4 linked regions of the Drosophila melanogaster genome follow. The protein of the gene in region 4 interacts with the protein of the main gene of each other region in a pairwise test. Each region holds a gene or a part of one and is shown on either strand. Other genes may lie near its edges.

The links.
Region 1: the proteins of CG3662 (region 4) and CG10444 interact in a two-hybrid assay, tested with the Drosophila melanogaster proteins (one large-scale study listed by BioGRID).
Region 2: the proteins of CG3662 (region 4) and CG9837 interact in a two-hybrid assay, tested with the Drosophila melanogaster proteins (one large-scale study listed by BioGRID).
Region 3: the proteins of CG3662 (region 4) and Sf3a1 interact in a two-hybrid assay, tested with the Drosophila melanogaster proteins (one large-scale study listed by BioGRID).

Annotation. Positions count from the first base shown.
Region 1 is NT_033778.4:20,268,000-20,276,046, reverse strand, and holds CG10444 (uncharacterized protein), read left to right. Parts: upstream 1-1,547; 5' UTR 1,548-1,808; coding exon 1,809-2,790; intron 2,791-2,847; coding exon 2,848-3,629; 3' UTR 3,630-4,394; downstream 4,395-8,047. Other genes in the region: CG11788 (uncharacterized protein), read right to left, coding at 1-61, 120-1,259, 1,319-1,356; CG8908 (uncharacterized protein), read right to left, coding at 5,262-5,442, 6,025-6,927, 6,979-7,164, 7,225-7,453, 7,511-8,047.
Region 2 is NT_033777.3:8,805,748-8,813,298, reverse strand, and holds CG9837 (uncharacterized protein), read left to right. Parts: upstream 1-3,487; 5' UTR 3,488-3,516; coding exon 3,517-3,570; intron 3,571-3,631; coding exon 3,632-4,201; 3' UTR 4,202-5,620; downstream 5,621-7,551. Other genes in the region: hng2 (hinge2), read right to left, coding at 6,116-6,666, 6,720-6,933; CCT7 (chaperonin containing TCP1 subunit 7), read right to left, coding at 7,280-7,506.
Region 3 is NT_033777.3:16,997,229-17,005,514, forward strand, and holds Sf3a1 (splicing factor 3a subunit 1), read right to left. Parts: upstream 5,128-8,286; 5' UTR 5,032-5,127; coding exon 4,923-5,031; intron 4,801-4,922; coding exon 4,636-4,800; intron 4,579-4,635; coding exon 4,407-4,578; intron 4,346-4,406; coding exon 2,883-4,345; intron 2,827-2,882; coding exon 2,654-2,826; intron 2,593-2,653; coding exon 2,422-2,592; intron 2,365-2,421; coding exon 2,263-2,364; 3' UTR 2,156-2,262; downstream 1-2,155. Other genes in the region: CG3534 (uncharacterized protein), read left to right, coding at 237-1,064, 1,123-1,344, 1,559-1,748, 1,808-2,044; Irc (Immune-regulated catalase), read left to right, coding at 5,848-5,923, 6,976-7,072, 7,240-7,573, 7,638-7,824, 7,942-8,123, 8,196-8,286.
Region 4 is NT_033779.5:819,542-824,837, reverse strand, and holds CG3662 (uncharacterized protein), read right to left. Parts: upstream 3,550-5,296; 5' UTR 3,287-3,549; coding exon 3,179-3,286; exon of another isoform or gene 1,981-3,178; coding exon 1,269-1,980; intron 1,202-1,268; coding exon 1,062-1,201; 3' UTR 701-1,061; exon of another isoform or gene 648-700; 3' UTR 501-647; downstream 1-500. Other genes in the region: CG3862 (uncharacterized protein), read left to right, coding at 1-405; Clp (clipper), read right to left, coding at 3,869-4,759.

The sequences.
Region 1 (8,047 bases), on a different chromosome or scaffold from region 4:
CAATGAGCGAGCGTGCTTGGCCAATAGTGTGGAAACGGACAAGTTTGGGGTGGTAAAGCACCTAGTTATAAAACCGAAAATCAAAAAAACAATCTAGATATGTGTTCATCATTACTTACTCTATGTACGGTTCCATTTCCTCCATCGTCCATCTCTTTTTAGTCTTAAATAGCGCCCGCATGCGATCGCTTATATTGGTGGGCAGTAACTCCTCTGCCAGGGAGCGTATGCAAGGCTGCGCTCCCTCCTTGTCGCAAATGCCCAGACCTCGTAGGTACTTTAAGTCGCAGGACATGCCCTCGGGCAGTACCTCCTGCCAGGTGCGCATGAACTCCTCGTTGCGAAAGCGCAAACCCGGCTGAAGAATGTTCTGTGCCACAATGCGGGAGACCAAGGACTCCTGGTACTCAAACTTGCCCGGGCAACGTTCACTGGGAATGGTATAGATATCAAACAGCCCAGCCACAACATCCTCTGGAGCTATGCCCTTCAGTGCATTGATGGTCTCCTCCCGTTCCACTTCGTCCAAGGCCCAGGAGTTTTCGCTTATCAAACCCAGCATCATGTTAATAATGCGATACTCGTATTCGTACTCCATCACGCGCATTCGCCCGTCCAGTTCTATGGCTCGATATTGGTTCAATCCCTCCATGAACTGACCGCGGCTGCACTGCACCGTGTCCAGGAGCTGCGAAAAGGTAAAGAGTAGCTTCTGCTCCACGCAGAACTCGTTCTCCGGCCCCGAATATCGAGTCAGCTGCAGTAGTTCACCCAGCTTGCGAAAGCGCGGCTTTATCTCGCGGCACTCGAAGTACTCGTGGAACACCTTGAGCACCGGCCGCTGCTCCAGAGTTCGCGGCACTTCCAGTTCATCCTCCGTGCTGTCATTGAGGCTGCGCTCCAGGGAGGCGTTGGCGTTGCCAGTGCGCGGACTCTTCAGCGGCGAGGTGCTGGTGGCGGCGGCAAACTTGAGGTCCGGTACCAGCAAAAGGCTATTGGATATTTCCGCGCCCTTCACGTCGTACGTTCGCTCATCGGTGCACAGCACCAGCTTCTCGTTCTGGCCACCCTTGAAATATAGCGTCTGGCCGTCGCGGATTTGTCCAAGCATGTGCCCATCGAGCTCCAGAAGGCGCAGATTGTCCGAATCCACGTCCGCCGAGGGAAAGTACAGAGCCTGGGTGAGTTGGGTCAACTGGCGCTCGTCCAGTTTCGCATGCTTCACAATGGCCTTCACATCCTCCGGCGTGCGAACGTAGCTATGGCGGGTGGTTGGGTAACATTATAACTCCTACGCAGGCATACCAAAGGCACTCACAGCTGGGCAGCAGACTCATCAACCTCCATGGATTCCATGTTCGCTGCATGTAAACAAAACAAAAAATTAACCAAAACAATGAGCGGGAAAAAGTAGTGGGACCAAAGCACAGCAATGTTGCTTTCGTTGAGGGTATTCAATGGCCTTTCAATATGTAAGCTTAATGTGCTTGGAAAACATTACAGCATTAATCCGCACACCCTGCAAGGGCACACTCACCGCTCAGCTGATCAGTTATTTAACGGTCGTAGCCTCGGCAAGAACGTTTCTTTTTTGAGCGGAGATTTCGCGAGCACGCGTCTTGTTTTCCGCCGTTCGCCGTGCACTTGGACGCGCACTTTAGAAAGCGTTGACTGCGCCAAAGGTCATTGCTGGGCAAGAGAAGCGTCCAATCGCCGCTGGTGGTGACGCTTGTGGAAAAATCAATTCGGACCAGTGACGGACGTCGAACTTCCAGTTCTCTGACAAGCGGAATCCAGTCAACAACAACATGCCCGTGGGAACGTTTGACGCCTGGGATGCGGCCGTGCTGATCACCATCCTGGTCATATCGGCTCTGATTGGCATCTACTACCGGTATACAGGCGGCAAGCAAAAGACCACACAGGAGTATCTGATGGCGGACCAGAGCATGACCACTTTTCCGGTCTCCTTCAGCCTGATGGCAAGCTTCATGTCCGCCATCTCACTGATGGGCGTCTCCAACGAGTCCTACGAATTTGGTACCATCTTCTGTGTGATCAACATTGCCTACGTGCTGAGTACGCCCATTGCCGCGTACTTCTTCCTTCCTGTTTTCTACAGGATGCGGACGACCAGTGTGTACGAGTATCTGGAGCGGCGCTTTGGCCAGGCCACCCGGCTGTCCGCCTCCCTGGCCTTCACCGTGCAAATGGTGCTTTACATGGGCATTGCACTCTATGCACCAGCGCTCGCTTTAGAAGCTGTAACCGGCATTCATCGGTCAATGGCCATCGTGGTCATTGGACTGGTGTGCACCTTCTATTCGACACTTGGCGGCCTGAAGGCGGTGCTCATCACGGATGTGTTTCAGTCCTTCCTCATGTTTGCCGCCATCTACGCCGTGATTGCCGTGTCGGCCATTAAAGCCGGCGGATTCGCGGCCATCTGGGATGTGGCTGTGGAGCGAGGACGCGTGAACTTCATTGAGTTTTCATTGGATCCCACCGTGAGGCATACTTGGTGGTCTCTGATCATTGGCGGCATGGTCACTTACCTCTCCTTGTATGGCGTTAATCAAACGCAAGTACAGCGACTCCTGAGTGTCCGCAATTTGAAGAGCGCTCAGTCGGCGCTTTGGTGGAACCTGCCCATCCTAGGAATGCTTAGTTTTAGCACCATTTTCAGTGGACTGTCCATATTCTACTATTATCGAGATTGTGACCCTTTGCTAAAGGGACGCATCGACAAGCGGGATCAGATCATGCCCCTTTTCGCACTGGAGACTATGGGTGAGTTGGAAAGACATCCAATAAGAATTAGCATTATTTGATTTCTTTTTCCGGCAGGTCAATATCCTGGACTGTGTGGTCTGTTCGTGTCCGGAATATTCTCCGCCAGTCTTTCCACGATTTCGTCGGCAGTTACCTCGCTGTCGGCTGTAACACTGGAGGATTACCTGAAGCCCTTGTACAAGGCGATATTTAAACGGACGCTAATTGACTCCAAGTCCACGATGCCCACCAAGATTGTGGCGTGCATTTTTGGCCTGCTTTGCATCGGTCTAGCTTTTGTCGCTGGCTCCATGGGCGGAGTTCTTCAGGCATCGCTTACCATTTTCGGTGTGGTAGGCGGTCCGCTGCTGGCCATTTTCACACTGGGAGTCTGCACTACACGCAGCAACCAAAGAGGCGTGCTGCTTGGCTTCCTCGTTTCCCTGATAGTTTCCTTCTGGATGGGATTCGGCGGACCCAAACCAAAGCCAGTTACCTTGGAGTTTAGCACAGCGGGCTGTGAGAATGCCACCGCGGTAATGGCGCGTGCCATCGAGCTCAGCTCAAAGAGCAGCGGAGTGGTCATCGAACCCGACTACTTCTGGTTATATCGAATTTCTTACTTGTGGCTGAGCGTCATCGGCTTTCTTATTGCCGTGGTCGTCGGCTATTTCAGCAGCATTGTGCTGGCTCACTGTGGAAAGGCAGAAAACGCGGAAATCTATTTGGACAAGTCTCGGAAGCAGCTGGACTACGATCTCTTCGCACCCATGCTGTCCCGCCGCTGGCGACGCCATAAAGAAGAACAAGACCAAACTGCCCAGGACGAAACGCTCACCAAACTAACTGAGCAGTAGTTCCGCCCGGCTTAGATTTAGTGTAGAATATATACATACATATAAAAGAATTTCCAGAAGGCGTCGGCTATTTGGTTAGTCGTGTTACGGATGTCGTACCTAAAAGTGCATAACTATGTGACCTTTTTGTATACCTGTGTGAACGAAACTGGCATACAGAGCGACCAAAACAGAGTCTTCCATATACACGTAAACAACGATAATTAGTAGTTATTAGTCGTGTTGCAAATGTTCACAAGCGCATCATTAAGAGGCCTCTTAAGAATAGTCAAATGTTTTTTACAAGAACGTATCAAAAGTAGGAGTCTACCTCAATGAACTTTTACAGAGGGACAATAATCAATTTGGAGCCTAAAAGCGAGTTGGCCGACTACTTTCCCATGTTGAGCATTGGCAGCCACAATGCCCCACATAAATTATTGATTTAGTAGTACATCTAATTTTAATGGGATATTTATATTCATACCTCTTAGTTACTCGATATTTGCATACATAGATAACATAATAACATTACAATAATACACTACAGTGAGCACCGCCTATAAATAGTTACTACATGGCTCTTAAAGCATTACATTGCGCCACAGTGTGAATTCTGTTTACTTATATACCTCTACTATATGTACACAAATATACTATAGACTAATTATATACTCGTGTCGTGTCGCAATCAACCATTGAACAATAACTCGGAGCAGTGAAAGTTATGTGTATTTGTAAAAGCCAAACTGCTGATCATTAAAGAAATCTGTTCTACAAAATGTGATTGCCTTTTTTTTTATTTGCTGCGGAAACATGATACTTGCAATCCCCAGCTGCAGCTTGGATTGAAATAATTACTTCGGTTGGCTCATGGGTGTTTTTCAGAAATCACGATTTGTCGAATACTTCCTGCGATAAGCAAATTCGTACGCTATCAGCTACCAAGGTTATGCGAGGCTCTCCCAACATTGCTCACTCGATGAGGAATCTATTTCGGAACGAATGCCATAACTTTCAAGCGTTTACCTTTGCCAATTGACTATTGCGCCATGCGGGAACAAAGTCTAATTGCGGGTCGGAGACAGCAAATTGCTTAAAATTGGAGAAGCCATGGGTCAGCATGTGAATATGGGTTCGCCTGTAAACAAATGCCAATTGATAGATTTGTCGAAACATCATTAATAAACCCAGACCACGCTCGTCTTGCTCATGGAAAGTTTTCAGAACGGATTGGGAGTTCAAAGTACGAATAGACTCGCATGACACACATTTTTGGCTAATGTTCTGGCGAAAGAGGAGACCAAAAGCGGTGGATAACATAGTTACGCCATAACCGATTTTTGTTTACTCTAACTTAGTGTGCGATTTACTATTTTTAACAATATTTATGTTAACCAACAAGAATCTTAAGGCATTTATTTGTATTCATTAGCAACGTCATAAAATATAATAACCATACAGATTTACATATAAGAGTATCAATTTGGCGACTGATGATTGTTTAGCCTTCATTTTTGCAACGCCAACAGATGATTTGGGCGATTTGTTAGCATTCGGAAGCAAAGCTTTCACAGATAGTTTCGCTGATACGATAAGGGTTTCGTTTGGATAGCATTCATTGAAGTGATTCATTGGGGAAGATTTATGGTTCTATTGATTCTGCTTCCTCACAAACTTCATGAACACATCCTGGAAAGTTGTATGGCTGACCGAGTAGTACAATATCTGCATCTCATCCTTCAAGTTCTCCATGTACTCGAAGATCGCGGACCACTTAATCTGCCCTCTGGGAATGCAGAAGGTGATCATGCCACGGTAGGAGTACTTCTCGCTGGGGGGAACAATTAATTATAATTAATTAAATATATACAACTCTTAGCTCTTTAAATAAATTACAATAACTATTATGCTCGATTGAGATGTAAGGTCATAATAACTTTCCTTTAATCAATCATGACTTTCTTATACACAACGTAAACAAGATTATTTTCATTTCTGTGCCAGTATGCGCGATTTGCCCAGACTATTTATATATGAGTATATTATTTGTAAATAAACCATATTCACATCCAAAGTGAGCAGCAAATGTTTATGTAGATATCTGTGTGCGTGCACTAGTGTATTGAAAATTTCAATCTGCTGTTGCAAGTGGTCAATATCGTCAATTAGCAATGATCGTGACCCAAATAAAACGAAAATAGAAAATCCTACTTTATCAATTAATATGGATACTGTTTTAGTTTGATTAATTTTTTCAGAAAACTTTGCTTTAAGACGATATGTAATGATGTCAAAATATGCATAGAAAATTACTCATACGAAACATATGCCAAAAATAATCTAAGCAAAAAGCTTGGTTAGCACATATCAATATTCTGATATAACACTTTAGTAAATATTTTTATGTACATACCTGACAGTGCTGTATGGATGGTCCTTTTTGAAGACCTCCTCCAATTCCTGCAGCAACGCCTCGTAGTCCTTGCGCATGTTCAATTCCGAATTTGTGGTGTCCGGCTGGGCGCGACTGGTCCTCGACTTCTTGACTGGTTCCACTGGTGGATTGTGATGTCTCAGCAAGTGCGCCAACATCATACGGCGAGCGCCCACCGTGCTTCCCATTTCACTATCGTTTGGAGGCATCATAGTGATCTGCATCCAATTGTCCCGCTCATCGTCCATTTCTGCTCTGGTACCCATCTTCACCTTAACGAAAATGCCCATGTTGAAGCGGTGCTTTAAACGCGATAAAGATCCGTAGCAGAGCAGCGAGCCGTGATCCATGATGCCCACATTGGTGCACAGAAACTCACACTCCTCCAAGTTGTGCGTAGTCAGCAGAATGCTGCGTCCACCCTGGCGGATGCCGTCCAAAATACTCCATATCTCGTACTTGGCATGCATGTCCACGCCGGCGGTGGGCTCATCTAGGCACATAAGCGAGGGCGCCAGGGTGCCCATGGCAATCATTAGCTTCCGCTTCGTTCCATTGCTGTATGTGCTGATGCGCTTATTCATGTGCGGTACGAGTTCAAAGCACTCGGCCAATGATGCCACCAAGCTCTTGATATATTCCCTTCGAATGCCGTTGATCAAGCAACAGAAGCGCAGCGCATCCTTGCCAGTCATGAACGACAAGAGCATCAGTTCCCGCGGACAGAATCCCACGTGTCGCGAGGCGTCCTTGGGACGCGTCTTCAGGCTGTAGCCCTTGATGTGAATGCTGCCCACCGTGATCGACTCCATGCCCACGATCATGCGGAAGATGCTGGACTTGCCAGACCCATTCCTTCCCAGCAAGCCAACGCACTCGAAACTGGTAAAAGATGTTGTGACTTTTTTACCTTCATACTAAAGTGATACTCACGGATTGAGATCCAATGTTAGGGACCGCACTGCCACAAAGCTGCCATACCGCTTCGATAGGTTCTTTAGGATCAGAGGAAAGAAGGCGTAATGCGCTGTGGTCAGGTAGGCCAATCTCCGCCGCATTTTGTCCACTTCCTTATCCTCATCCTTGTAGCTTGGGTATATCTTTTCGTTGCGAATTGACCTAAACAACAATTGGTAATCGGTTAGCATAAAGCTAGAGCACAATTGATCTAAACATAACTTGAAGACATAGTTTAGTCGGCGCGGAACCCATGCGAACACCACAATGGTAAGATACGCCGCTCCGCTGAAGATCAGGTAAGGTAGCTGCTTCAAGCTGAAGGTACTCATACGTATCGCCTCATACATTCCGCAACACAATGAATAATGTGGATGGACCAAAAGCACGGACTCAATAACAGCGTACCGAGTTTGCGGACTCTTTGGGTGAATGAAGAGGGCCAAAACACCTGGAAATAAAGTTTCCTTGCAGTATCCAAAAAGAAATACAATGAAGCCATAATTACCTATCATATTGATGTACAATATAATGCTGAACATCTTGCCGAAATCATTGGACATCAGGCACAACAGATAGGTGAATGAAATGGCGGAGAACCCGAAGGCAAGCAACTGAACTATTACGGGCAACACGGAACCTATTGTGATTCCGGCGACCACGATCAGAGGCAAGATCATTGCGATGTAAAAGCAATAGTCCCAGGACAGGTGCGACAGCCAGTAGGTGCTGCGGCTCATCCCGCTGCTGAATTGCTGGTGCTGCACTTTGGACCGGCGCTCGACGATCGGCAAAACTGCAAAGATGGCAGTGCCCAGGACTAGGTAATGGAACACCAGCACGGCAAATTCTATGGTGCTGGCGTAGATCAGTCCCCTAACTGCCTGCTGTACCGTATCCTGATACGGTTTGTTCACAATCCGAATATCAAGTTTTGCCAGCTCCTGCCCAATGGCCGCGTACACCAGGCCCATTGAGAGTGCAGAGCCGTGCTTGAGCTTGTTGTTTGACCAGGCGATGATCGAGTTGGCGTTGCTGTCGAAGG
Region 2 (7,551 bases), on a different chromosome or scaffold from region 4:
AGTGTCAACAGCGATAGGAAGGGAATTTCCATTTGGTTAGATGTTTAAAAACCCATTTACATATGATAATGATTTCCTATGAGTTCTTTGTTGAAACAGATGTTTAAAAAATGGAGCTTGGCTGATTGCAAAATTGAACAAAGTTGAAGTGAATATGGGTATGGATGGCTTATTGGATATTTCGATTTAGGAGGTAAAAGTCCGCGACTTCGATGGAACCCCCGAAAAGTGGCGATCCCAGAAGGAGGACGGTGGAGAGAGAGAGCTGTTGGATCAGTTTAGTTCACAGGTAAGTTGGCAAAACGCGAATGTGACTCACTGGCGGTACAAACTAGTATTATCTAGGTGGATTTCTCTAGAGGTTGCTCGAAGAAAAAACAGACGCCGTGCGAGTGGTGAACGTGCTTCGAATCACCTTATCTCGCACCTACCGCGCTCCACACAGAGAAACAAATATGCTGCAACTTTACACGTTTTAAATGCAGTTTTCTAAACAAAAATATATGTGTGAAATTTGTATACCCATTTAGATCAATTTTAACGTGCTTTGATAAGTCTCGAAAACGATTTGAGTTTCGGATGAAATGAATCATCACCCCAATTGTTACTCTGCATTTGATGTTTCTGTTTTTTACCTCGCCGCTTTGGGATTTCTTTATAAACGATGTCGCAAAAGAAAACTGGATTCACAGGCAACACACTATGTGGGCAATGGGCTTCGGTTTTGAATTCGGTGTCGTTGTTTACCGCTTCGCTACCCCTGAAGTAAATACGTTCATACATATGCATGTATATATGTACTTACCATTATGTTTGTACTTTATATGTACCATATCCGATCGAGTCGAATGAATACAAGACAATAACTGTACGGGTTGTCCATATTTGAGCATCGAAAGCGTTTTTCCCTCGACGAATTCATTTAATGCTGAGACCCGTAGTCTTTAATTTTTGTGTAATGCTCTCAACGATTTTCAGGCCACCCCCGAGAAATACATATACATGAACATATGTATGTATAACTGAGGACGGTGTTTACGTAGTGACGAAAAGCACGCAGAGTATATATATAGTAGTATATGAGTATATATACTCAGTATATATATGTATACTGGAATAAAAATGTAAAATATTTAGATGAAACTTTAATATTTATGGGTATCCGGTAGGTGCTCGTGCATTGTTGTTTTCAAACTCCACTAGATATGTATCTACATATGTGTGCTACCCATATTTGTTGCCCTGGATGCCTGTATGTCTGCACACAAACTTAAGGCAAATCAAAAGCGTAAACAATTTTGTTTTTATTTTGCTTTTGGTTGCTTCTCTTTTATTTTAATGGCGCTTTGCTTAAGCTAATTGCAATCTATAAATGGCGACGGCGATAGTGGATTTCAGCGAGGTTGTCGGTGAAGGGGTATATACTTCGCCCCTCCCCCCACACGACCGTTTGAATTCGCGATTGCAAACATAAAAACAAAAGCCCAGAGCTAAAGAAAAAACAGATATATGTATAAATCATGGGGAAACGTGACTAAATGGAATCGTTCATACCCCTTGATTGGCATTTAGACATCACTTCGATGTACATTGTTTATAACCTATAAATTTCTGAATGTAAAATAAATTGTTATGCTTATTAGCAAAGCGTTCTAAATATATAAGATAACGCTTTCGTCCAATATACCCTAACTGCGGGGTATCCAAAGCGAGATGTGGCTAAACAAAAAGTTGCGTGCACTGGTCTCGGACTGGGCCCGTAGATGTATCTGTATCTACGCAATTGGTATCTGTAAGATACACACACATCCGAATGTTCACGTTGTGCCGCCACACGCGCTGTGTGCCGAGCGGGATGGAGATACTGGTGGAGCGAGATGGGAGGCGTTCGTATTTACAAGTTTTGTGCGTTGGTCTCTGACGACCCCTTGGCCACCCATCTCCTACGTCCCCCTGGTCACAGTCCCCATTCCTCACTCCCCTGTATTTTTGTACAACCATATGTATGTATGTACGTATGCGTGCAAAGTACGCAAATGGCGAAGAAAAATATTAAAAAAATATAAATATAAAAATAAGTTAAACACACAAGAGAAAAATATTCACTTCAAGTGAATTCTGGTAGTGTATTTTAATGTATTTATGGGCTATAAAGATTTGATCTTTTCGAGTTTCATTTATTGCTGTTATTGATGTTTCGCTGGAACACTATGTTTTTTTTCTTATCAAAACTTTTTAAGAAAATTACCAGCTAGGAAACTCCACTTGAACTCTTGGTTCTTTCGTGCTCATAAAAATATCAACAGTTTTTTATGTGTATAAATTGTGAATATATTATGGGCAATCTCATGTGAGTGTGTGTCAACGGTTATTTTATTTTTTTTCCTTTCGGTTTTTGTTATTTTCAGGCAGTGGAATAATTTTATTCTGCTGCGCAATTTCTACTATTGATTCCCATTCGTATTCCCACATTTTATGCTTTTCTTTGGCCTGCCCCTATCGCCATGGCTTCGCTTCCATGAACTGCCCTGCTTTGATACCATTTTCTAAATTAAGGCATACTTTCGCACAAACAAACATTCGACTGTGTACATATACATATGTACATATATGTGGGGTACTTGCGGACCCTGATAGCATTCGCACCTTATCGCTATAGTGGCTCTGTGTACATTATAATTATTATTGCACGCGTAAACATCATATATAGCGATAAGAGCGGTTGTTGTTACCTCAGACGGATGATAAGCGTAGTGTAGTCAAGCAGATGTTAACCCTTAGAGAGTCGGAAATTCGGTTGAGTTCGTAACGGAAATGACTCTGTGAAATGGGTTCCCAAAAAAGGTGGATGATTCACGGACTCCAAATACCCATGCGGGCTATTAACCAGTCCATCTTTTATGTCACATGTATTAAGATTATATTTATATAGCACACATTTTTTCTTAAATTGTTTAAATTTTTATACCAAATGGGAACTATATCCATATCAGGCAATTAATATTAACTGCTTTTTGGATCACCCTCAATAATGCATACAATCTGCATACTCATTGTTTTATTACAATACAACTACCACTAATTAATATTAATAGACCACATATGATATGGCATTCGTTTAGTCAGTTTAAGATAATTCTGAATTCTGTATACCCTCGGCAGGTTCAAAGAACTTACTAGTTTCCATAGAGGTCATATTGGATACGAAGCTTTCAGCAAATTGAAATACTTGCTATTCCAAGCGCCTTGAAATGGTTTTAGGTTGGCAATCGCTCACCTCACTGTATTGACTTTTCATCTCGGCGAACACGTGACTTGCGCTTTGTCTGGCAATATGTATTCCCATAGCTAGAAAACTCATTGAATGTGAATGAATCTGTTATCGGTCAAGTGGGAACGATGTGTGATAACCCCGTGGTTTGATAAGCGTCGATGTCGAGCTTGGATTGCATGAAGTGGTCTGATCGTGAGATTTCAGCTTGGAATCAGTCAAACATTTCCCAGTTCACCGACAAGATGTGGTCCTCTAAGACTATTTTGGTTTTCCTAGCAGCATTTACTTTGGTCCAGGCATGTTTCCGATTGTGCAAGCCTGCTGGATGTTTCTTAACAAAATTTCTAATCCTTATAGGGTAGCATGCGGTTTCACTTCACCTTGGACTTTCACGTACAGCAGCCGCCGAATGCATCCGACACCATCGACAAGACCATTATTGTGGAGAACGATCGGATATCTATGGTGGACAACGAAGGAGCGACTACTAAGGCTCCGATGACCCAGTGGACAGATCAGGATCAGTATAATCAGGACGCATTGCTGAAGGTGACCGATACGCGCAGATCGGTGCAACAGCTGAATACGGAGCTCTCACCCCTGGTTGGCAGGAGCACCGATTTGGCCAGAAGGATTAAGCAGAGTATGCGATACGTCAACGAGGTGGATGCTAATCTGGACGATTTGAGCAACTTTGGGCAGCTGGTGGAGCTGCTCAAGAAATTCGTAATCCTAGTCGATAACCTAAGGGATCCAAACAATCTCGGAGGCATTCGAAGCCTGGAGTACGTACTCCTGAAGTTGGCTCTAGAGAAGTACGACCTTCTGAACAAGCGACAGGAGATCGGTGAATACTTGGAAAGGGCGGAGAGTGCCTGGCGAAGATACCAAAACACACAGGTGGTTGTTCTGGATAACTCCACCTGAGTCGGGCTCAGATGCCTAGGACCACCACATTAGGAACTTAGTTTTAGGATAAAACAGAACAAAGACCAGCATCATGGGTCGACACAATCGCTGCACCATGATCTACTAGAGCGGCTCGGCTCTTGAAAGGAATAAAAGACATCGAAGGGACTTCCTGTCTATTATTCGATTTCACTGCAATGCCCAGAATTGCTACAGGTATGCGAGGGGAGGTATTCCAGGGGTAGAATACCCTAAATTCCCTTCGGTGCCCGGTTTCGTTAAGGCTGGAAAGTACGTTACACACGCTGGGAATGCCTTTGTACACTGCAAAAAATTTAAGTTAGACCTAGAAGAGTAAGCAATCATGATAAATAAGTATTTTACCCTAAACAAAAATTCTGCTTGATTTTTATTTGTTTTATTTTTCCCTAAAAAACTGCACCTGCAATCATTTTCGTGAAGTATTGATTTATTGATATTGATGTAGATTTCCTATCAGTAGAATCTACATTTCTTGCATAGCAATTCATTTAATCTAATCAAAATAACAGTAATAAAATACTTAAAAAAGAAAATACGATAAAGTTTTCAGTGCATTTCCATTCAGCAGATGCAGGTAGTCGGAATCGAGGAACTAAGGGACCTTTTAATAGGGTAGAACAGCTGCCAGAGCCGTTGCTAATAGATGAAGTGGAGGGTAGGGTCCCGAACGCGGGCAGAAATTTCCGAAACCCGAAACAACCACTAACAAAAACCATATGCAGTTAAGTGGGAAATGGAATGGGGCGATCCCGAGGAGAACGGCATCATCAGGACGTTACGAGTACCATTTGTCGGGTGAATTGTGGGGGCGGGTATTCGGGGTAACGATATCGTCGTACCCCCCATAGATGGTACTCAGGGAATTCCCAGCAGTGTGGAACGCTTGAAAGCCGACACCGCATCCAAATCTCTGTGTTACCCCTATGGGTTCCTTAACGGTTTTCAGCGATTTCTTTTTAGGGGTGTCGTCTGGAGTGTCGACTTATAAATACGCTCGTACAATCCATAAATGTGCCTTTGTGTTGAACAAAAACCATGAAGAAATCGGTATACATAATGAAAACTCGATTGGCATAAGAGGTACAAGCTGTATGAATACAGGTTTCAACTCTTTTTTGTATCAACATCAGCCGAAACTGGTCAAACGGCTTTGGAACATGGGCCATCCGATGGCTTATGTATCGTTTTGACAGTTTATGTTTATACTAAAATTTCGCTGCAGGCGATAAATATGTATTGAGACAGCATCCGGCCCAAGAAAGTAGTGGCTAGGGGGATGAATAACAGAACATGGGATTTATGTAAAAATATCAATTACACATGTGGACAATTTGCTTGCATACATAGTTAATATACATATGAGCATATATATTCATATGAAATTCCATACAAATCCATGTTGTATGAAATTGATATTGAAACCCACGTATAAAAATATATTGCCGTCGTTAGATAATTTATGGTTTAAAACAAAATAAAATGCATATTTTTTATACATTATTTAATGTTGTTTTTAATGTTTTTTTCATTGTCTTAAATAACTCTACAACTATTGTATTATTATCAAAAATTACAAAAGTAAGCGTATAATATATACATTGCGCAAAACACAGAAGTTACTATGAGAAAACTATTTGACGCATTATTAAGAACTAAAAAAAATAATTGAATCATTGGTTGCATTAAAGTTTAACCCCTGGTTTGTGAATATTATTGTTTGTATATTAAATTACAAATTACAGTTCATTATTTAAATTTCGCGCCCTAAAGATTAGACGATTTACGATAACGATTAAATGTATTCTTATTGCTTATGTTAACTTGCTGTTAAACGAATTTTGCCCTTCTTGTAAATGCATTTGTAAATGATTTGACTTCTGTAGTGAATATTCAATTCGGCTTGAAGTTTCGTAGGATTTTCAGGACCTCGATCTGAAAGTCAAGCTTGCGATCGGCGCACATCTGCTGCATGTGAGGCTTAATGGTGTCGAAGAAGGCCTGATCAGGATCGGCGGACAAGTAGGCGGTATTTGTACTGCAGGGTGGATCTGATGGTAACTGTGGAATATATGCGATTTCCGGAGTGGCGGTGTCCTCCTTGGCGCAGCCCAGATCTCCCAGAACCGTATTTATGTTGCTTGGTATGGCTGGATTGCGGATGGCAGGCTCAATATTCGATTCTTGGTCGGAGTTTCTCTTTCGTGGAGTCTTTGCAGATCTCTGTGCGGCAGTGCTCACTCGCTTCCGTTTGGCCTGGGGCTTGGGTTGCTCCTTCAAGGATTCTACATCGTCCTCCGACTCTGCTTTCACGTTCAGCAGGAAACTCAGTTCCTTTTCGTAGATGTAGGAAGCTCTGGCCACCTCCTCGCCACTTTGACGTAGTCGGTTGACCCGTAGGTAGCTGTCCCTCGTGTTTTTCCAACGTTTGAGCAGTGTTTTAACTGGAATTGGAAGTTATGTATGATATAGACTCAAAAAGGTAGCCACCACCTACCTATTTCCTGCTTCTCCGGCTCGCTGGAGTCGTCAAAATTCGAGCAAAGCTCGTGGCCAATTTGCTGCCAGGCCTCATCTCTGAGTTCGCGGTTATGGAAGTTTGGGTGGCTTCGTTCCCATATAATAGAACGTTTGTGTACCGCGTCAATGAACTCGTACATCGAATAGCGCAAATTGCTTCCTGCCGATCGAAGAACTTTATGATTGCCCATTATTTATTGTTTATTTAAGGGTTGGATTGGATTGACAATATGTTGCTTGCGTTTAACAGCACCACGGGCAGCTGCTTAACAGCACTCCCCGCAGAGTTGCCACCTCGCCCCGCATTTAAACTAAAAACGTTCTGATGTTATGAAAATACAAATTTCAATTTTGTGTTTTATTATTAAACATATACAGATAGGTCAGTGGATTATTGTTGCTGTTGTTCTTGCTTCGAAGCGTGCGAAATGCGAAGGTATGACCGAGTAATACGTGTACGTGTTAAATTAGGAGAGAAATGCAAGTGAGTTTTGATGATTAGGGTGTAGTGTTCTCTGGATTTCTGAATGATTCTATTTACATGGGCCTGCCCATTCCGCGGCCCATTCCCATGCCACCGCCGGCCATCGGGGGTTCTCCGGCCTTGGGACTCTTTATTGTCTCATCGACGGAAAGGATCATGCAGGCTGCCTCGGCGGCCGCCGTCAGTGCATTGATCTTAATGATGGACGGCTCCCAGACGCACTGCTCATAGTTGTCCGAAATGTCTTCCTTGTTGATGTCGACGCCGTACCACTGTCCTCCTGTAAAAAGGTAAATGTATAAAATTATAATAATTATTAATTAGA
Region 3 (8,286 bases), on a different chromosome or scaffold from region 4:
TTGTTTGCGTAAAGCAAATAGGGGGATATATTTTACGTTTTTATATCTTGCGCTGTGGGGTATTTGTCCGATAATACTTAGGGCCCTATTTCATAGCAGTTGTTTTATTACACCACAATGGGTCTCTATCACTTCAAGTTTTTTTTAACCTTCCTATAACAGGGACCATATATACAATGGGTACTATAAAATATATATGTGCTAACCTGACTCCACCTTTACTTGTTCTTCTTTAGATACTTTGTACAACCAGTGATGTGGGTGAAGGCCATGGACATTGTCCTGGACCGACTGGTTATGCAGCAAGCGGATCTTAGCACCGTAGCTGCCATCAGTGGCTCCGGACAGCAGCACGGATCGCTCTACTGGTCCAAACATGGAATCAACACGCTGCAAAACCTCGATTCCGAGAAGTTCCTTCACGCACAAATCGACGACTCCGCCTTTGTGGTAAATCGTACTCCGATTTGGATGGACGCCACCACCACCAAACAGTGCCTAGAGATGGAGATGGCTGTTGGTGGCAAACTTAACATGGTGGAACTGACGGGCTCGAAGTGCTACGAACGTTTTACGGGTCCCCAAATTAGAAAGATATATCAGCAACGCTGCCACGCCTACGAAGAGGCCAACCGAATCTCATTGGTCAGCAGTTTTATATCATCGCTATTTCTGGGCTCCGTCGCTCCAATTGACTTCAGTGATGGTTCCGGCATGAATCTGCTGGACATCCGCAAGAAGAACTGGTCCAAAGAATGCCTAAATGTTTGTGCACCCGATTTGGACAAGCGCCTGGACATTCCGGTCAGTCCAAATTCGATTTTAGGCAACGTCTCTCCGTACTTTGTGGAGCGCTTTAGTTTTTCGCCCGATTGCAAAGTGGCTGCTAGCACGGGGGACAATCCTTCGGCGCTGTCTGGAATGTTGGTGGGCAGCAGCTGGCTTACCATTTCCATGGGCACAAGTGACACCCTAATGATGAGCTTGAAGGAGCCGCTAAACTGGGAGGAGGGTCATATACTCTGCCATCCAACTGAAACGGAAGAATTCATGGGCCTTCTATGGTAAATTATTCCTGGGACATTATATCTTAAAATTAGTTTATTTAAATGTCTTTTTCAGTTTTAGAAATGCTTCATTGGTCCGTGAGGAAATGAACAAGAAGACAACCGGCGGCGATTGGGATAAATTCAATGAGTATCTCGACTCCACGCCCCGTGGAAACTTTGGGAACATGGCCGTGCACTTTAACGACATGGAAATCATTCCCAAGGCGCAGGGTATTCTGCGATGGAACAGGGAAATGGATCCCAGTTCCCCGGACGCGGCTAGGGGTGTAATCAAGTAAGTCTGATTGAAAATTTAGCTGTTTTAGGTCCGACATGAAAGCAATGACTCATAATCAGTTAACAGACATCTGTAAATAGTTATTTTTAGAAATGACTTTTTACCAACATGATCATGTTTTTTGTCGTTTATACTTTTTCTTAATGCCTATTTCCCTTCTACTGAATTCTTTAAAATGTATAAAATATTCCTGACCTCTTTCGCTTTATAGATTCAGCTCGCCCCAAATCGAAATTCGAGCCCTAGTTGAAGGTCAGATGCTGCATCACCGGGCTGTGGCTGAAGACCTTGGCTACAAATTCGGACCCGAGACACAAATCCTTGTCACAGGAGGCGCATCTGTTAACAAATCAATCCTGCAAACAATTGCCGATGTGTTCAATGCTCCCGTCCATATCCAGGTTAGTTCATACCAACTGTTTCTCAAGTGCAAGCAATTTAAGCAACATGTTTCTTGCAGGATGAAGGATTTGAGGCTGCCCTACTGGGAGCCGCTTATCGATCCGCCTACGCTCTGTACCTTCAAGAGGCAGGTGATGGGGTGACGCCTCTCTGTTACCGAGATTATATCCTAAGTCTGACAAGTAACAAACTGAGCCTTGTATGCGAACCACACAAGGACAGCGAGGAAATCTACGCTCCAATGCTACAACGATATCGCGAAATGGCGCGCGTCCTGTCCAATCCTAACACATAAACTCTCCGAAAGCCCAACGTAACATTCCAGTTTATACTCCGTACATTCACAAACTGATTCCTTCTTAAACGTCTCCTGTAATTGACAGAACTTAAGTGCAATTAACAAATTCTGTGATTGACGATTTATTACAAATTTATGCGAAACCATATACAAATAAATTTTTATATATGGCCCACTCCTTATTGTGTCTGGTATGCCTTTAATCTTTGATCCGCCTACTTTTTGCGTCCACCACGCTCCTTGACCTGTAAATGCACCGTGGTTCCGTTTACCAGATTGTAAAAAGCCATGGTATTGCTGTCTTTGAAGAACATTCCCTGAAGGATAGATGTTATTGAAATAATAGTTTTCGAAACATTAGTTGTATTTCTTACCTCATAAAATATCTTCTGCTTGGCCGGTGGCATGCCAGTTTCGTCCTGCAGCTTCGTCTTCAGATTGGCAATGGGTTCAGAAAGTGCCATGGTCACGGCTATCATCTGTCCATTAAGCTTCCACTCTGATTTGTCGGAATTGGGTACCAAAACCTGAATGGTCACAGGGCTCTGAAATAATTTAAGATGGGTTATATACCAATAGATAGCCAGATATCAAAATCAAACTTACCTTGTGGGTGGCAATAAAGTCTGCTTCTGGAATCAGGTTGTCCTCGCTTCGAATCTTTTTAGAAGGCGGCTCCTCCTCCATTATATCAACAGGTGGAGCAGGTGCAATTTGCTGAGGGATTCCACCAGGCTGCATGTTCATGTAGCCTCCACCACCAGCTCCAAAAGGCGGCTCTGCAAAATAAAAACGCTAAGCCCTCGACGAGATTTGCATACTATTTGTTACTTACGCATCATGGTTGGACGCAGTTGCATCAGCTGCATCACCGGTTGAGGCTGCTGCGGCGGGTGATGGTGGTGCGACTGGTGAGGTGGCGCCTGCTGATGCGGTGGATGGTGATGATGAGGATTATGATGCCCGTGGTGACCACCTCCGCCACCTTGGTGGTGTTGACTCTGGCTGGAGTGACTGTGCTGCGACTTGGTTGACGGCTGCGGCGGAGCTGAAAGCGTCGCCTTGTTGCCCACCGGTTTGGGGCCGATTTTCTCCTTCTCCTCGTCGGGCAGCAGTCCCTTAACCTTGTGGATTTGATGAATTTGTTCCTCCAGAGTGATATTTGCACGTGCTGCTCTCGTGGCCGCCTCCACGCTGGACGTGTGTCCGTCCCAGGTGACGCGATCGTCCTTCTTCGTCTCCTCTTCGCCGAGCTTCTTACCAATGACGGTCTCCTCGTCGCCCACACCAAAGATATCCGTACGACGCTCAGCCAGTTGCTTGAGACTCGCCTCGATGGCAGTGCCCGCGGCGAACACATTGTCTTGATTGATTTTCTCCACAGTATGCTTGTCTCGCTGTTCCACCCAGCGTGGATCCAATAGACCGATGCGCATGTGCTCCGAGACCTTGGAAGCCGGTATTTTCTCTCCTGTAATCGGCGAGATGAGATACTCATCCGTAGGCATTGGCGCCTGCTTCGGTTGCGTTGCCTTAGGATCGTATTTCTTGACCACCACTTTGTCGTGGGTGGGCGGCAGCATTGGCGCAACAGATGGCTGCAACTTAGTGGTTGGAGTGTCCTCATCACTAGAGGCTTCGTCCATGTCTTGCACCTGGGTGTTGTCTCTCTTGGGGCCAGTCGGCTGGCCATACGACGATACGTTCTTCATTTGTATACCCACACGGTTCTCCATTTGCGAGAGTTTCAGACCGCTGTCCAATAGGTTGTTAGCCTGGGAGTCGCCCTCGTCGTCCGACTCGATCTGCATTTCTGTATCGCCCTCTTCGTCCATTAGACGCTCTTCCATTAGCACACGGGCTCCTACCTCGTCGGGATTCGTGGGTGGCGGGAAGTTGCCCGATTCGAATGGCTGATAGTCCACCGTCTCCACCACCACAAAGTCATGCCAATCGATTTGGGCATAGGCCACGCGCTCCCTTTCGATCTTCTCCTCCTCACGGCGGCGTTGTGCTTCTTGGTGACGCTGCCAGTTGGCCCGATATTTAACCTGCTCCAGCACCTGGTTCATGCTGCTCCTGCCCGGTGCGCTCTCGGAACGCAGTTTGCCCAGCAAATCCTTTGGAGGTATCAAGACCTTGGTATACTGCTCCAGCAACTTGGTAAAGTACTGGAAGAGCGAGTGCTGGGGTCGCAGGAAGTCAAACTGAAAGTTACGCTGCTCCCGGCTCATAAGATTGGTCAGAAACTGTCGGCCGTTACGGGCCACAAATTGAGCAGTTAGCTTCACAATGTCCCTGAAAAGATATGCAAGACAATAAGACAGCGATTGGAACTTCCTGGCGAGTGGACACTTACAAATCCAGCGCCGAAATGGAGGGCGGATCGGCTATGAACTCGAATTCAGGTGGAGGTTCCTTTGGTACGAACTGCTGCTCCACCACTTGCTTGAGAAGCTCTTGCTGGCGCTGTTGGGCGGCACTGGTCACCGCCAGCTGCTTCATGCTGGCAAGGGCAGTGATACCGGCATCTGAAACGGTCTCATGTATTAAGAGGAAGTATTAATGGGAAGTGAACGAAAACATACCATTGCCCTCGCGGAACTCGTTGACCTTGTGTCTGTAGTATGCGTGGTAGGGATCTCCGCCATTTAAGAAGTTAAACTTTGGATTGCCCAGCTCATTTTGGCGGATGCGCGCCTCGAATTCCGGTCCATTGCGAGCCACAAAACTGGCGGTCTTGTCAACGATATCTAATAGTTAAAGCTTTGATAACTGAGTATGGGAAACGCTAAATGTGTATTAAATGAATGTATTTTGAGTAAAAAATGGCTAAATTGAGAAAAAAGTTTGTTTTCTTTTTGGCAAAGGATGCTTCTAACTTCCGGCGGCGGATAGATAATCCCAATGATTGGACCCGACATCGACTTGGGCTGATCATTGCCGAACTGCTCCTCGTTGGCTTCCGCGTCTAAAGTTGCCATGGCTGGTGAAATCGTCCTCTTTTATTGATAAAATCTGATTGCTTTTTGAGAAATGAGAAAACGCTTGTTTAGCCGAAAATTAGAGGTGGAAGGAATAGGGATGGAACAATCGTTGGACTGTTGCCACCGCCATCGATAGTTTTCTTACATTCATGTAGTAATGTTAGGGTGACTCAATAAACGAACTAGTTTCAAGCCGGAACTAGTGAACCACTGGCTCAGCCTATCGATTAATTTGGCGCTGGATTTAAACAATCTGTCGGACAAACCATCAACTCAGGCGTTAATAATGGCTTATAAAATCTTTACATATATATCAGTAGATGGACGGACAAAGGCGTGGGCAGAACTGAACCCCACGGATGAGGTCTTTATTTGCATATTATGTTAGTGTTGGTACGGCTTTGTACGGGTGGCTTGATTCACCAAGCCAAAACAAAAATAACATTTGTTTACGTTTGTACGACTTTATTCATTCGCTGAGAGAGTCTGCTGCCAGCACGATAGCCAGATGATGATGATGATGATTATCCAGATGATGAGGTTCCCTTGTGCGTGATAACGACCCGACTCATTCTCATTCTCATCGACTCGATTCTGTCGAGATTTGCCCCCAAGCTCAGTAGTCTACGAATCGCTGAGCCGTCGACACGGTTTAATTGGACTGAAAGCGCGGATTAGGTCCGATAGAGTCGCAGTTCGGATCACTTCCTTATCACAAGCTAGCGACGTGACTTAAATCCCATTGACGTGCGGGTATTTTGTGAATCACAACCGGTGGCTGAAAAATCCGAGTTCTAGAACAAAGACACTGCAATGGGTGGAATTCAGTACATCTGCCTGCTGGCTTTCATAATAGGAGCATCATTATTGACAACAATCGATGCTAATTGTGAGTCCGCTAGCAGTATTTAAATTAAACTCTGTGTTTATAGAGACATTTTGGTGTCAAGTATCTCATTCTCGTGCTAATTTCTTTTAAGAGAGCACAGTCTTCTTCGTGTAGAAAAGTAGACCAAATAGAGGGAAACCTATTAATTTTATAGCTTGTTATTCGGTTTATTATGATAATAAAAACTTTATTGAAGTATATAAATATTTAATTGATAAAGCAGAAAGACATTCGTAAAGCGGAGGCTGGTCGTCTCACAGCGATAAATTTCCACAATCACTACGCACTATTTAGCCTGTAATTAAGTACAAGTATTAAAAATATATACAGAAATGGGAAACTGTTTTATTGATCAATGTAAAATGTACTTTCCACTTTCTGCGAGTGCTCAAGCGTTATATCATCATGAATGACTGCATTGGTTTTTACCAGGTTTTCACATTTGTTTATTGTAATAAACATTACTAAATTGTTACATTCAAAAAACCCCATTTGCATATACTTGTTGATAAAGATTCCAATAAATTCCAAAAGCTCACCCCAAGGTTCGCATATATGAGGGCTTATCGCTGAATAAGAATTCCCAATCAACAATTGTTTACTGATCGGATCCAAATAGATTTCTATAAGCGTGAGAAATAATTGATGTTTATTTTTCGAGTAAGATGCAGAGATATTTCACTTGAATTAGCATACTGTATTCAGGTAAATATCTCTTTAATAGGGTATTCACACTTTCAATAACAATACGACTGCATAGAAACCATTCACAAAAGGCCATTTTTTATGATTGTATCGTTACCTTTGATATAGTACTTTTAAATTGTCTTGATTAATGTGTTGACAAGACAATTTGTGGAATATTCCAGAACAATTCAATTATACCGTAGATATAAATCATGTTTTCTTTAAATGAGTCAATTTACTTAAAACGGCGCCTAGAAATTGAGATTCCCAAGAGAAATGATGATAATGAAAATTATAAATTAAACTACCCATCTGAATAAACTTAAATTTAACCAATTCATTTGTATCATTTTATGAATCTTCAGCGAGCCGAGATGTTAATGCCGAATTAAACAGGATTCCTGCTTCGAAATGGTTGCAATATGTAGAAACGGCGTTGGACTCAGTAAATAGGCAAAAGCGGTTTGTACAACTGATTACTTTGAAAACCAGTTAACTTTAATGACTTACGCTGATATGTTTAGGATGTGACACTTTTCTGCTGAACTTGGTGCGCGACTTATATTTCCGTATTCGGGCTTAAATTTAAACATTATATTTTACATAATATTACTTAACCATTTTTTCAGACTGGAGGACAATCTATTAGGTTCCGATATCACTGTTAAGAACGGCAGCCTTTCACACGCTCAACTTCTGGATACTTTACCAAGCCTAGCTTCGAAGAAGGACAATAAGCTCGCCCTGAAGATCCTTAAGTCCAGCTTGCTCGTTTTCAACAGCGAATGCCTGCCTAATAATATCGATGGAGACAAGTGCCGCAGTTACCTGGAGCAAAAACCACTTCCGGAGGGCAGTAGCTTGCGAACTGAGTGTGAGAACTCACTCAAGGGAAATCGAGAGGGTCACTATGCTTTCAGAAGGCTACTTGGGAGCAGCCACTACAGGAACGGTTTCTATCAGGTGCGATCCGCTCAGAAAAACAGGATGTAGAAGATGAATTAAATGGTTTATATGGTATTTTTAGATGTTTCCCAATTCCGGAAGACGCGAAACAGTGCCGGCTGCGTGGTCCATTAGTAAGGAGCTGTATGAGCCCGATCACATTCAGATCTCCAAACAACAAACCTTCGAAAGCAATTCCAATTTGGCCCTCCCTCAGTGGGCTCAATTTGTGGAGCATGATCTTAGCAAGCCGGTGTCGCAATCAATGAGTGAGTTTCATATGATGACCTCTTCCTTTTGTACTTAACATACTTAAAACCAAAGTATATCAATTTATATATTTATATTGTTAAAATTGTTTCAATTAACGATTTCTCCGTTCCCAGGCAATGGAGCCCCAATAGAGTGCTGCAGCCGTGACCAGATCAACCTTCAGCCGCGTCACCACCACCCGGCATGTGCTCCGATTCTGTACCAGCCCGGTGGGAAATACGACGTGCCCAGCTGCCTTAACTATGTGCGAAGTGCTCTGGCCGTGGCTGATTGCAATTTCGGTGGCGCCGAACAAGTAAGAAGAATTCAATTGTGAAAAACCATGTAAAAATATCACTGATTGCTTACTTCTATTATATGTATGTAGCTCAACCAGGCCACGGGGTCCTTGGATCTATCGCAACTCTATGGTTTCACCGCAGCGGCGGAGAGAAAGTTGCGTGTTCTCGAGGGCGGTT
Region 4 (5,296 bases):
CTAACGAAGTCCATCGGGAAAATCAAGGATGTGGCTGCGGGAGGCTCATTTTGCATGGCCCTCAACGACCAGGGTCTGGTGTACACCTGGGGCTTTGGCATCCTCGGCTTCGGACCCTTCGTGGAGCAAACATCCAAGCCGCAGCATCTGTTGCCGCCTTTATTCGGACGAAATGACTTCAGCAACGAAACCACAGTGGTTTCCATCGGATGCGGAGTGTTTCACATGGGCGCCGTCAACTCGGACGGAGATCTCTTCATGTGGGGCAAGAACAGGTTCGGGCATCTGGGGCTGGGACACAAGAAGGACCAGTTCTTTCCCTTTAAGGCGGCCATCAACGGAAAGGTCACCAAAGTGGCCTACGGAGTGGATCACACCATTGCCTTGTGCAAGCCGTTCTTCTAGATTAAGCTGTTTGTTTTAGATTAGTTAACTTAAAGTATACTCTAGTCGAAAATACTATTGCCAGTGGCAGCCCAACCAATAAAGATCACACTGCTAAAGATCACAAATTCGCGTTTAATACATGTAAGTAGTTTAAAGAACATTTAGATTAATTTACTTGTTTCTCTTACGCATGCTGATAGTTGCCATGTTTTCCGCCCTCAGGTTGTTTTTGCTGTAAATAGCTTCGTTCTGAATCCGTTCTATACATTAATTGTTAGAATAGAGTTTAAGAGCATATATATAAAATATGTACTTGGAATGCCGCAGTGTGTCTGTGCGCGTGTACCGATCCAATCTCTCCGTATCCTTTCAATCCGCCCTCGAGGCTAATACATTTCACGTATTTGTCACAATTTCGTCGATCGCTTTTGATTGCGTTCTAGGTACATTTTCGTTACGCTTCCTTACTAGGGTCTATAATTTGCTAAACTCGCTTGGCCAATGATGATATATCCACCCGGAGTGGGTGTGTGTCCTGCTAACCAGTGGTAACCAGATCTAGACTTGTAGGCATGGCTCTGTGTATGTATAAATCGATTCTAAGTAATAATTTGTTTAGGTTGTGTTATCATATGGGTGTTGTAGCTTAAAAGATCCTCCTCCTCCTCCAAAGCTCAGGCCTGTTGCCTAGCCTCGTTGGCCTCGTAGGCCTCCACCTCGGCGATGTTGGCCAGGTCGTACTCGATGACGCCCTTGCCCATGAACTCGGCGTACTTGGCTGACTCCGGCAGCGGATCAGCCGATCTCTTCGAGACTGTAATGGGTCGAGGAATGGGAATGGATCAGTAAGTTGCTGGCACCTGTAAGACATTGCTACTCACCGCCTGAGACGAACTTCTCCATCATGTAGACCTTCATATCGAAGCACTCGTTGGCAATCCGCTCCGAGATGAGCGAGACATCGGTGATGCGGGGCATGACCACACGCATCTGGCGCCGCACGCGCTCCGTATCTATGTTGTAGTAGCCAGTGCTCATCTTCTTTATGAGATCCACAAAGCTGGTCGGGGGCAGGGTCGTGTCCCGATCCAAGGGCATGATGAAGCACCGTCCGGTGGTAGTGTCGATAATGGCCGACTGGTTCTCCTTGAAGTCGTGCATGAAGCGACCACGACGTCCATCCTTGAAGTCGGGCACGTCCACGCGTGCGTAGCCCTCGTCATCGCTGTCACCGTCCAGTTCGATGTCCTCGCGGAAGTGGCTCTCGTCCAGCGATCCACTGTTGGGCATCGGTTGCGCGAGCTCGGGTAGCAAGGAGCGCCAGTTCAGGGCGAACGGTTCCACGGTGCGCGGATATACCCGCGCCATCTCCATCGAGTCCTCCGGATAGGGGATCTCGCACAGGGCGTGGTAGCGCATGCTGCTATGCGACGGAGCGTACACTCGGTACAGGGTCCATCCGCCCAGGACACCCAGGAGCATCACGACTACGGCGATCAGGAACAGCAGAAAGGATTTGATGCAATGGTGCTGCGGCCGGTTGAAGACCATGGATTCCGCGTCGGCTTCATTATCGCTGTAAGCAACCTTGGGCTGTGTGTGGAAAATGGGGGGTTTTAAAAATATGGGATACTCCTCTAAGTGTCACTTGCAATTTTGTAGGAACAACAAATTGCAATGGAAAAGTAGCAGTTTTATATACAATCTAAAGTTATCTAAAATGACCGACTTGTTATATCTGTTTCCTTATCACCCATTGTTCCAGTGGAAAGTCATAAAAACGACGATAAGTCGTAGAAAAATACAAATAGAAGGCAGTTGACTGTAATGTTGATAGTGGAAGTTCCACAAGTCGAAAGGTTTGAGCTTGCTGAATATTAATCACACATTTATATTTTCCGCCAGCTCAGCAAGATAATTTTTCACTGCAATGCCTTCTCTTGTTCTATAAACAATGCAATTGCATTGCTAAGTCAAAATTGTTTCGAAAGATACGTCGTTAGCGAGAGATTAGTCTAAGGAGGGGTCAGAAGAGATCCCCTTGCAAAAAATTAATCAATTGAAGGCATTTGCATGCACTAGAGTGGACCTTATTCGACTATGTAGTGCATAACTCATATGTAAATGTATGATTGTATATAAATCTCTGGAAAATTAGTGATATCTACACTAAATAAATAAACTGCAGATGGGCAAATATGCTGGGAGATGGGAGATGGGAGCTGGCAGCTGGGAATGATTGTGCTTATGACCAGCAAGCTGATAAGACACGACTTTCTCTGGATACCCGTGCACACGAATCGAGGTCAAAGTGCACAGTGTCAGCAGCTCACAAAGGGCTGCAACTGGCACCGTAAGTGGCTTTCCCCAGCCGTCAGGGCCAATCTCCACCAGCAACAGGAAAACCCTTCGCGCTGACCTCGGGGAGCGAGCGAGCGAGTCCTTGGCGCGGAAAGCCCAGGAAAGTGAATGGGCACACGTCACTTGGAGTGGAGCAGGGGTTGCATGCGGGCAGGGGGGTAAGGGGAAGCACGGGCCACAAGGACACCAAGGAGTGCGGAGCTTGGTCGGGGAAAAATCGATGGCGAGCTGCTGCTGCTGAGGCTGTAATTCGGAATGGATTCCGAATCGGAATCAGCACCAACCACCCACCCATCACGAGACTTGTGGCTCTCGGGCCGCAGGACGAAGGACACGGTGGCGGGCAGGGCGCGAGGGATGGACAAGGACATAGCACGATTGCGCAAAAATAAGGACACATCCCGCAGATGCGATGCCAAGCAAAACTCACTGCGATTAGGGAGCCATGGTGCATGAGCGCCTCGTCGTTGAGGTTCATGGGCAGGGGCACCTTCTCCTGGTCCGTGGGCTGTCCCCGCAGTTTTCCCAGAATTGTCATGGCTGCTCGTATGCTGTGTTCTTGATGCCTCCGCACGACCAACTTGTTTGTTTTTACTGAAAATTTAGTGCGCAATTGTTGACGAGCTGAAATCTCGATCCAGACAAGCCAGTGTGACCAGTTCTAATTCGCCTTTCAAAAGATGTGGACAAAAGTGAGGCAACTCTAGAGTGGTTGCAAACTTGGAAAAGACGATTCGCCGCCCAAAAATTCGAAACTTGAATCCGAAAAAAAATTGTGAGGCACAAATTGTTATCTTACAAACGAAAAAACATGATACATTTATATTTTTGGAGAAAACCCAAAACATACAACTAAACTCCCTTCCAAAACGAATTGCTTACTTGTATCTTATGGAAGTTTATTTCGCTGATAACACAATACGTTCTACTGGCAGTTCTAGGGACTTTTTTCAAAAATGCAAATGAGTTTCTTAACATACACTTTAAACACAGAATGATTGAAACGTTCGCCTGCGGAAGTTGGGAACCTACGACCTCTGGACTACACAGCGGACTATGCAGACCGCTTTCGACCTTTATTTCTGCACTCTTACAGTCTAATCATACAGAGCAGAGCGTCCTACTTATGACTATGTTGGTTAGAGAGGAAGGCGAGGTGACCCTTGGGACACTTGTTCGCGTAGTGGCCCTTGTTCCCGCACTTGTAGCAGGTGATCTCCTCCAGGGGCGTGGGCACCTTGACGAAGCCGGGACCATGCGGCTGACTGTGGTGATTGGATTGCATGTCATCGGCACCCTCGATGTGGCCGGAGTGTCCAGAGTAGCCGCCCGAGTGTCCGCCGGAGTGATCCATTGCGTTGATATTGTTGCGATGCTCCAGGCTGCCCACATACTGCTTGCACGAGTTGGCCTTGTGGCCCAGCTCGCCGCAATAGTGGCACGTGGGCAGTTTCTTGTGCAGCTGATCCTTACCCAGTTCCGCCAGCGGGGGCAGCTCGAAGTGCGGATGCATGTGCTTGCAGGACGGGCCCTCGGGGCAGAAGCCGGCTAGGTAGTCCATGCACAGGACACGGCGCAGATGCTGGTGCCGGCAGTGGGGACCGTGGCGGCAGAAGCCTCTCTTGTACCACGGACAATCCTTCACCTTGCTCTGCGGGTCGATGTGCAAAAAGGGACACTCTTTGTTGTGGCAGGCGTTGAACCTCGAGTAGAAGTAGCACTCGGGCATCTTGGTCATGTCGTACTCGTGCAGGAACTCGCACTGGTCGCCCTTCTTGCACAGTCCTCTCAGCCAGTGCTTGCACACGATCGTCCGGTCCCCGCGAATGTGTCGGAAGGGACAGGCGCTCCCTTTGTCGCACTCCTGTCCGTTCCTGGTGATGAAGTTGCAGACCGCCGCAATGGACTTGTCCATGCCGTAGAACGGCAGCGGGATGGCACCCACCTGCTCGATGAGGTCCCGCTCCGCCTTGAACTGCAGCCCACTTACGTTGGCCAAAAGGATGTCCATCTCTGACGGATTCGCGGATGCTCGGATAGATGAGGAAAAACTCCGAAATCTGGTAAACAATGCAGTTTCCTTCTTCTTTTTTTGCGCGTGTTTGTTGTTTCAGTGCGAATAGTGCTGACACGCAACCGGCGTTATCGATATCGATAGTTCGCAAGGCAAGACAGTCATGGCCGTCTAGCTGTTTATTAGCCAAATCTGTCCACTTCAGGGAATAGATATTTGTATATAAATATTTTTAGTCTCCAAATGTTTTTAATTTATAAGATTAGTCATAGTAAGAAAATACTTGTTTTTATGACCTTATTTAACTAAACCGCCATTAATAACATTTTAGCTATTTAGCTACAAAAGTAAGTTGATATTGGTCAGCACTGTTGGCGACTAAAGTATTACATAGAAATTAAGTATCCGCCCCGTTAGTGTTGCTGATAAAAGGGCTTATCTACAATGAACGAGCCAGTTTCAAAAATTTCACTTACACAAGAGCAACACTTGAATTGCTTCGAAATTTAAACATTAAACACTGAGTAAATTCGA